Linked DNA regions of Caenorhabditis elegans. The protein of the gene in region 1 interacts with the protein of each later gene in a pairwise test. Each region holds a gene or a part of one and is shown in the gene's direction. Other genes may lie near its edges.

Region 1 (3,605 bases):
TGATATTGGATTTGGAGTCTGTCAAAAAAGAAACTAGTGATATGAAAAAGCAACAAGAGACTCAGATTTTGAAGAGACAAGACGAATATCACGACGAGATGAAGCAAGAATTTCAAAAAATCCAGGCAACTCAAAATAAATTGATCGAAGATTTGATGTCGGAATTGAAGACTGTCAAAAATGAGACTAATGATATGAAAAGGAATCTCAGGAGAAATCGATGAATGATCTTCTTATCAGGAATTCGGATAAAAATCTGGAAATGATGTTGAAAATTCAGGAAGGTCAAAATCAAATGATGATGAAGATTATGCAAAGATCAGCTGTGCATGACGTCCCAATTGAAACTGGAGAATTGGCAAAGAATGTCTCATTTTTTTATATTTTTGTTTACTGGTCCGATTCGCATGGCACATTAGCGTCTGGAAACTATCGAAATCTTTGGGTGCGCGGATCGGACACAATTCGACAAGTCAAACTGACCATCAATTCACTTGCAAACGTAGATATCAGCTCGTTCAGAATGGTGCTTCGTGGTTGCTTGGTTGCAAAATAGCTGTAAAATGAAATTTGCATTTCAGATAAAGTTCTCGAAGACGACCACACTCTCGCCTACTACAACATTCAAGAAGGCTCAACACTCGGTCTTTTCTCCCCTTAAATTCTAATTTTTATCGACTTTTTCTCTAAAAGAATGTATAAAGTTCCCATCTGCCATTATGTAAATAAATAATTTTTGACAACAATTTTTTGGATGTTTTTATCGCAAACAACGTTTTCAACAATCATTCGGATATTTGATTTGTTCAAAACAAAAAATGCAAAAAAAAAACAATTTTTTATGCGCGTATTTTCAGGTGCATAGTCCGCAAACACGTTACGTACTCCGCCACCTACCGTAATTCCCTGTGAAAAATTATCTGAAAATTTTTCTTGTTTTTTGGTTCTTGTCGAGTTTTTTGAGAATTTCCAATTATTTTGCGAGTTTTTTTTCGAATTTACTTGAAAAATTATGGAAATTAACGAAAATTATCAAAAAATGTGTGTTTTCTAGATTAAAAAATGTCAGAGCCAAACAATTTGATGTCCGAATTCCAAAAGCTCTGCGCTGAAACTTCGAGAATACAGAATGAGTTCAGAGAGGTTTAATTAACTAACTAACAATTTTAAAAATCAATTTATTTTTCCAGATACCCAGCTCTGCGGGGAATGCACTGCTCAAGGACACTCAGGAGATGTGCCAGAAGATTTTGAAGAAACAAGACGAACTTCACGATGAGATGAAGCATGTTCAGGAAAGCTTGATGTCGGAGTTGAATTCTGTGAAGAATGAGCTGAAGCATGCGAAATCGATTAATGATCTTATTGCAAAGAATGCTGATAAAAATCTGGAAACTTTGCTGAAAATTCAAAAAACTCAAGATCAAATTATGATGAAGCTTCTGGAAGGAGACGCTATGGAGAAGATGGGAGGACTAGTTTTGAAAAATATCCCAGACGAGCCTGAAAAGCCTGAAAAGCCTGAAAAGCCTGAAAATGAAAATTTCTCGCTCAACATCAGTCCAGCTGCGTGGAGAGTGGACTGTTTACACCACCGGCAAACTCTACCCGCTTCTGGTTCGCGAATCGGATACAATTCGTATTATTAAACTGCGTTTCAACACTCTCGCAAGAATGTTGTATGTGGATACCAGCTCGTTCAGAATGCTCATTGATGGTTTGTTTCTAGCCGGAAAACTTTAAAATTTACAATATCCCATTTCAGATAAAGTTCTCGAAGACGACCACACTCTCGCCTACTACAACATCCAAGAAGGCTCAACACTCGGCCTTTTCTCCCGTTAAATTCTAATTTTTATCGATTTTCCCTTGAAAAAATGTAAAAAATGTATTGTTCCCTTGTCATTTTGCGAATAAACAATTATTAACTAGAATTTAGATGATTTTTCACTAAAAAAAACATTCATTTCAGGTTTAGAATTAATTCCAATAAAAAAAGACAAATTTTTATGCGCGTAGTTTCAAGTGCAAAGTCTGCAAACACGTTGCGTACTTCATAGTCTACCGTAGTTTTCAGCTTTTTTTTGGTTTTTTTAAAAGTTTTTATTGTTTTTTCAGCGAAAATCCTTGAAAACTTCGATTTTTCCTGGGATATTTCCACATATTTCCTTCAAAAAACACATTATTCTCCAGAAAATGGCCGATTCGAACGATTTGATGTCGGAATTTCAGAAGCTTCAACAGGAAACTTCCAAAATTCAATCACATCTCACCAAGGTTATTATTTTTTTATTTTTAAAAACAAATTTACAAATCTCACATTTCAGGATTTCCTCTCAAGCTCCGCTAAGCTTTCGGAAAATCGTGTCCTTCAGGCCACCCAGGAGCTTTGTGGAAAATTGACGGAAAAACAAAAAGTTCAGGATGATACGATTAACTTGTTGCTCTCGGCGCTCGGCCAAATCCAGGAAAATCAAAATAAGATTTTGAATCAATTTGCATCAATGCAAAGTCAGCTGGATATTGTAAAACGCCGTCAGGATGCTTATGAGCGGGATTTAATCCAACAAAAACCTTCAGTTCCGGAGCAAAAAGTCGGTGAATCGTCGAAAAAGTCTCCGAGATCTGCAGAATCAGCTCTGAAATATGTGGAGACATGCACCAAAGTTGTAGATCTTTGTATTGCCGTTTCAATGCCTGGAAGGCTCTTCTCCATTGGAGCCAATAAAATGGAATCCGTTGAACAGTTGAAAATGAAAATCGAATGCCAAACGGGAATTCCACGCACAAAATTTTGGCTCAGACTTCACGGTTGGTTTTTCAAATTAGACTTATTTTTAATAAATGTTTTTCTTATTTTCAGGCAAACCTCTCTACGACGACAAGAAGCTCGCCGACTACAAATGGGATACCAGTGTTGAACTGCTAGTTCGTGCTTCCTAATTAATATTTTTACGAATTACTAATCTGTATCATTATGTGTTCCTTTTTTTTGAATGAATAATGATCTGAAATTGCGACCTTGTAAAATTAAATGGTGAAATGTTGAGAAAAAACAGATTGGTGACTAGAAAGGGCACTTCTGCTGGAATCGATGTGTTCAATAAAAATTCGCCATGTTCCCTGCAAGCGAATTTATTGCGCAAACGAGAAAGATTGCCGGTAGCAGGTCTCGACAAGACAAAATTTTGCTAAATTCAAAAAAGATGTGCGCCTTTAAAGAGTACTGTAGTTCTAAACTTTCGTCAATGCGGATATTTCATCTATTTTTCGCTATTTTTCAATTTAAAAAGTGTGAATTTATTGAAAAACACAAATATATTTTTTTTAAAGAATCGTGGTAAAAACTGTAAAATCAATTTAAATTCCACAACAATGAAGTCTGAAACTACAGTAATCTTTAAAGGCGCACACCTTTTCGCATTCAACAAAATTTTGTCGTGTCGAGACCGGGTTCCTTATTTTCGTTTTTTTTTTCGGATACGTGTGGATTTACGCAGTTTGTGTACTCCTCGAGGACAAGTTTGCTCATTTTTTTGTGCATTTTACAGTTTTTCGTAAACTACTTGGTTTAGGACCATTTTTGCAATTTTTTCCATTTATAA
Region 2 (3,968 bases), 870 kb from region 1:
GGTTTTAAAAAATTTTAAACCGGAAAATTCTGACAAACTTCCCTAAATTGAATTTAAAAAATTGAAAAAAAAACGTTTCTTTGCTCTGAAATTTCATGAAATTTCCAAATTTTTTTTTCGGCAAGTTGGCGAAAAATTCAGATTTAGCCGGATTTCGCTATTTTTTCCAAAAAAAAAAAACGAAAAAATCAGTTTTTTATGAAAGAACATAGGAAAAATATAATTTTTTTCCTGAAAAAGTTCGAAAAATTTTAAGCCATTTTTCGAAAAATCGAAGTTTTTTTCGGAAAGTAGGGGAAAAAATCGATTTTTCAGAAAATATCCTAAAATTTTGGTCATTTTCAAATTTTTAAAATACTTTCTCTAATTTATTCTTCAAAAATTTAAATTTTATGGTTACTATTTCCTGAAAAAAAATTAAAAACCCTCCATTTTTCATTGCAAAACTGCTTTTTTCCCACATTTTCGAGCTCCATTCCCACCAATTTACCCCATATTTTCAGCTATATCGCACCCGACATTGCCACAAAACTTCCAAATCTCAAAACTCTTGCACTGACCAACAACAACATTTGCGAGCTCGGAGACATTGAGCCACTGGCAGAATGCAAGAAGCTCGAGTACGTGACATTTATCGGAAATCCGATAACTCACAAGGACAATTATCGGATGTATATGATCTACAAGCTGCCGACGGTTCGAGTGATTGACTTCAATCGAGTCAGACTGACAGAACGTGAAGCTGCGAAGAAGATGTTCAAAGGAAAAAGTGGAAAGAAGGCGAGAGATGCGATTCAGAAGAGTGTTCATACAGAAGATCCATCAGAAATTGAACCAAATGAGAATAGTTCGGGTGGAGGTGCTCGGCTTACTGATGAAGATCGGGAGAAGATCAAGGAAGCGATCAAGAATGCCAAGTCACTCAGTGAAGTCAACTATCTTCAGTCGATTCTGGCATCGGGAAAGGTTCCGGAAAAGGGATGGAATCGTCAGATGGATCAGAATGGTGCCGATGGGGAAGCGATGGAGTCTTGAAAAATCTTGAAAATTGCAGAATGTGCTGCTAAAATTTATTTATTTATTTTATTTGATTTTTTTAATGTTAAAATGATACTCCTTGTTTTATTTATATTCTCATTTTTTTCCAATTTTTTCCCAGTCTGTCTTCCCTTTTTTTGTAATTTTTATATACCATAAAACAATATTTCCCCTATTATTTTTGATATTTTTATCGATTTTTCAAAGGTTCCCCGTGCCTTTTTATATTTGATTTTTTGAAATTTTTGCAACAAAAAGTTAGAAAAAAATCCTTTTTCAGCCATTTTTGTGTTTTCCGGCTATTTTTTATTATTTTATTAATTTTGAGAGGTTCCCACTGGGAACTTCCCAGCGCCTTCAAATATCTATTTGGAAAAAAAAGGTTTAAAAATTGGAAAAAACGCGGATTTTTTTTTGAATTCTCGCCTAAAATAATCCATTTTTTGTGTTTTTTTGTCATTTTTCCGCAAAAAAAAAACTTCAAAACCCTTAAAAAAATGCGTTAAAACTCTAAAATTACCCTAAAAATCGATAATTTTAGACTTTTTTTTTCACAAAAACTATCGATTTTTGGCTAATTTTAGAGTTTTCAACTTTTTTTGCTGAAAAATGACTGAAAATGTGACAATGAAAAACCGATAAAAAAAGCCGGAAAATACAAAAATGTAGAAAATCGGTGAGAAATTCAAAAATAAATCGGCTTTCACTAGTTTTTTTGCAAAATATTTTGAAAAATCTTTTTTTTTCAATTATAAAAATTTTTTTTGGTCAGTTTTGGCAAAAAAAACCAAAAAAAAACTGGCTCTCTACCATTAAAACAATTATTTTCAAAAAATCCACAACTTCCAGATGTCGGCCGCTCAAACCGCCGCCGCCACTCCAGCCGAGCAAGAAGAGCAACGAAAAGTCGTCGAAAAGTTCAAGGCTCTACGTGATCAACAACAGGATATCGCCGCCGAAGTGACTCGAATCGAAGAGGAACGACGTGAATTTGGACGTGTTCTCGAAGTGATCAAGGATCTTGAACCGGATCAGAAATGCTTCCGTTTGATTAGTGATACACTTGTCGAGTATACTGTCAAGGATGTTATTCCGGATTTGCAGAATAATATCGCTAATGTGAGGATTTGAAAGTCGGGAAAAATAGAAGAAAAGGCGGAGGAAACAGTCATGTGTCGATTTACGGAGTTTGTGTACTCCTCGTGGAGAAGATTTTACAGATTCCGGCTGAAATACCTGATTTTCGACCTTTTTTCTATATTTAACGCGTTTTAAATTGGGGATTTACAGTATTTCCGATGAAAATTGACAGTTTTTTGAAGCAAAAAAAAATATTTTTTCATCTGAAACACTGAATTTTCCGATTTGTTGCACCAAAAATACGGTATCTGGAAGCTATGCGCCTTCAAGGAGTACTGTAATTTGAAATTTGTGGAATTTATATTGATTTTCCGTAGTTTTTCGATAAAACACTTCAATTTTAACAAATCGAATGAAAAAATATAAACAAATCGATGGAAACTTTGCAAATTCGGGTACTCTTTAAAGGTGCGCAGCGTCATGTATTCGAAACAAATGTCGTGTCGAGATCAGACATCGTAGTTTTAGCGCAAAATTTCGCGTTTTTACACCTAAAAATTGAAAAAAAAAACCAGATTTTCCGTTTTTTTTATAGCGAAACCCCCAATTTGCGCTGGGAAATACTGTAAAAATACGATTTTAATATGGTTAAATACAAAAAATTGAAAAAAAAAACAGACTTCTCCTCGTGGAGTACACGAGCTGCGTAAATCGACACAAGACCATGATTTCACAGCCATTTTGCCATTTTTAATGCGAAAATTCATTGAAAATCAGTGTCAAAACATGGAAAATTAACGGTTTAATCTTAAAATAACAGTAATTTCAACGAAAATATTTGAGAAAACGGTCAAAAATGGTCTGAAAGTTGAATTTTGTTCAACTTTCAGGCAATTTTTGAGCTCTATCTTGGATATTTCGATTGAAAATAGTGTAATTTAAAGAGAAATCGAGTGATTTTCTATATTTTGTCACAAATTTTCAGCAGAAAAACATGGTGCAACTGACCAGAATTACCGAAAATAATAAAATTTTGCAGTTGACAATCGTCTCGAAGCAGCTCAACGATCAGCTCGTCGAAAAGGGAAAAGAGCTGAACACTCACAAAACTACACACAACATTCGTCTGCTCACTGAGAAAGAATCTGCCGAGCTGAGAAAAGCTGAAGCTCTTGGACAATTGCCAAAAGCTTAAATTTCCCCTGCTTTAATTTTTTTCTCGATTTCCTACTGCTTTTTCATGTTTTCATACGTTTTTTCTTACTCTGTTTGTTGCCTTTTTTCTATATGCTCCCGTTAAAAGAACTTAAGTCTTGCATAAATTGAATTTGAATTTTTTTTCGATTTTTAACTGCTTTATTATGGTTTTTGAAATCCAATTTTATCTTTTTTTTTTTGAAAAAAAAAACATTTTTTGGTTTAATAAGTTTTTTTTCCAAATTTCGATATTTTCCCCGTTATTCAACAAAATTCATCGATTTTTTCATCGTTTTCACATTTTCAGAATTTTTTTTCGAAAAAAACTGAAAAAGTAGCCTAAAACCGATAATTTAACATTCAATCATATTTTTTGCGAAAAAAATTGAAAAAAAAACTATTTTTCAAGTTTGTCATTTTTTGATTGATTACTAACTTAAAAAATGGTTTTTTTTTTCAAATTTTTTCCCATAAAAAGTATAATTTAATGTTAAACTATCGATTTTTAGGGTACTTTTACAGTTTTTTGAGAAAAAATGTCTGGAAAAATGGGAAACCATGTTTCAAATTATAAAAAACTGCAAAAAGTGAAGAAAAATCAATAAATTTAGTCAAAAAACTCAACAAAAAAAGTTTTAAAAATTCGAACTTTC

The links.
Region 2: the proteins of C16C8.11 (region 1) and pfd-2 interact in a two-hybrid assay, tested with the Caenorhabditis elegans proteins (one large-scale study listed by BioGRID).

Annotation. Positions count from the first base shown.
Region 1 is NC_003280.10:3,451,669-3,455,273, forward strand, and holds C16C8.11 (Ubiquitin-like domain-containing protein), read left to right. Parts: upstream 1-2,039; 5' UTR 2,040-2,196; coding exon 2,197-2,277; intron 2,278-2,327; coding exon 2,328-2,811; intron 2,812-2,863; coding exon 2,864-2,943; 3' UTR 2,944-3,020; downstream 3,021-3,605. Other genes in the region: gldi-6 (Ubiquitin-like domain-containing protein), read left to right, coding at 1-224; C16C8.12 (SKA2 domain-containing protein), read left to right, coding at 1,063-1,143, 1,191-1,649.
Region 2 is NC_003280.10:4,324,833-4,328,800, forward strand, and holds pfd-2 (Prefoldin subunit 2), read left to right. Parts: upstream 1-1,887; coding exon 1,888-2,157; intron 2,158-3,157; coding exon 3,158-3,313; 3' UTR 3,314-3,452; downstream 3,453-3,968. Other genes in the region: mog-2 (putative U2 small nuclear ribonucleoprotein A'), read left to right, coding at 504-1,035. UniProt on the Caenorhabditis elegans protein: Binds specifically to cytosolic chaperonin (c-CPN) and transfers target proteins to it. Binds to nascent polypeptide chain and promotes folding in an environment in which there are many competing pathways for nonnative proteins.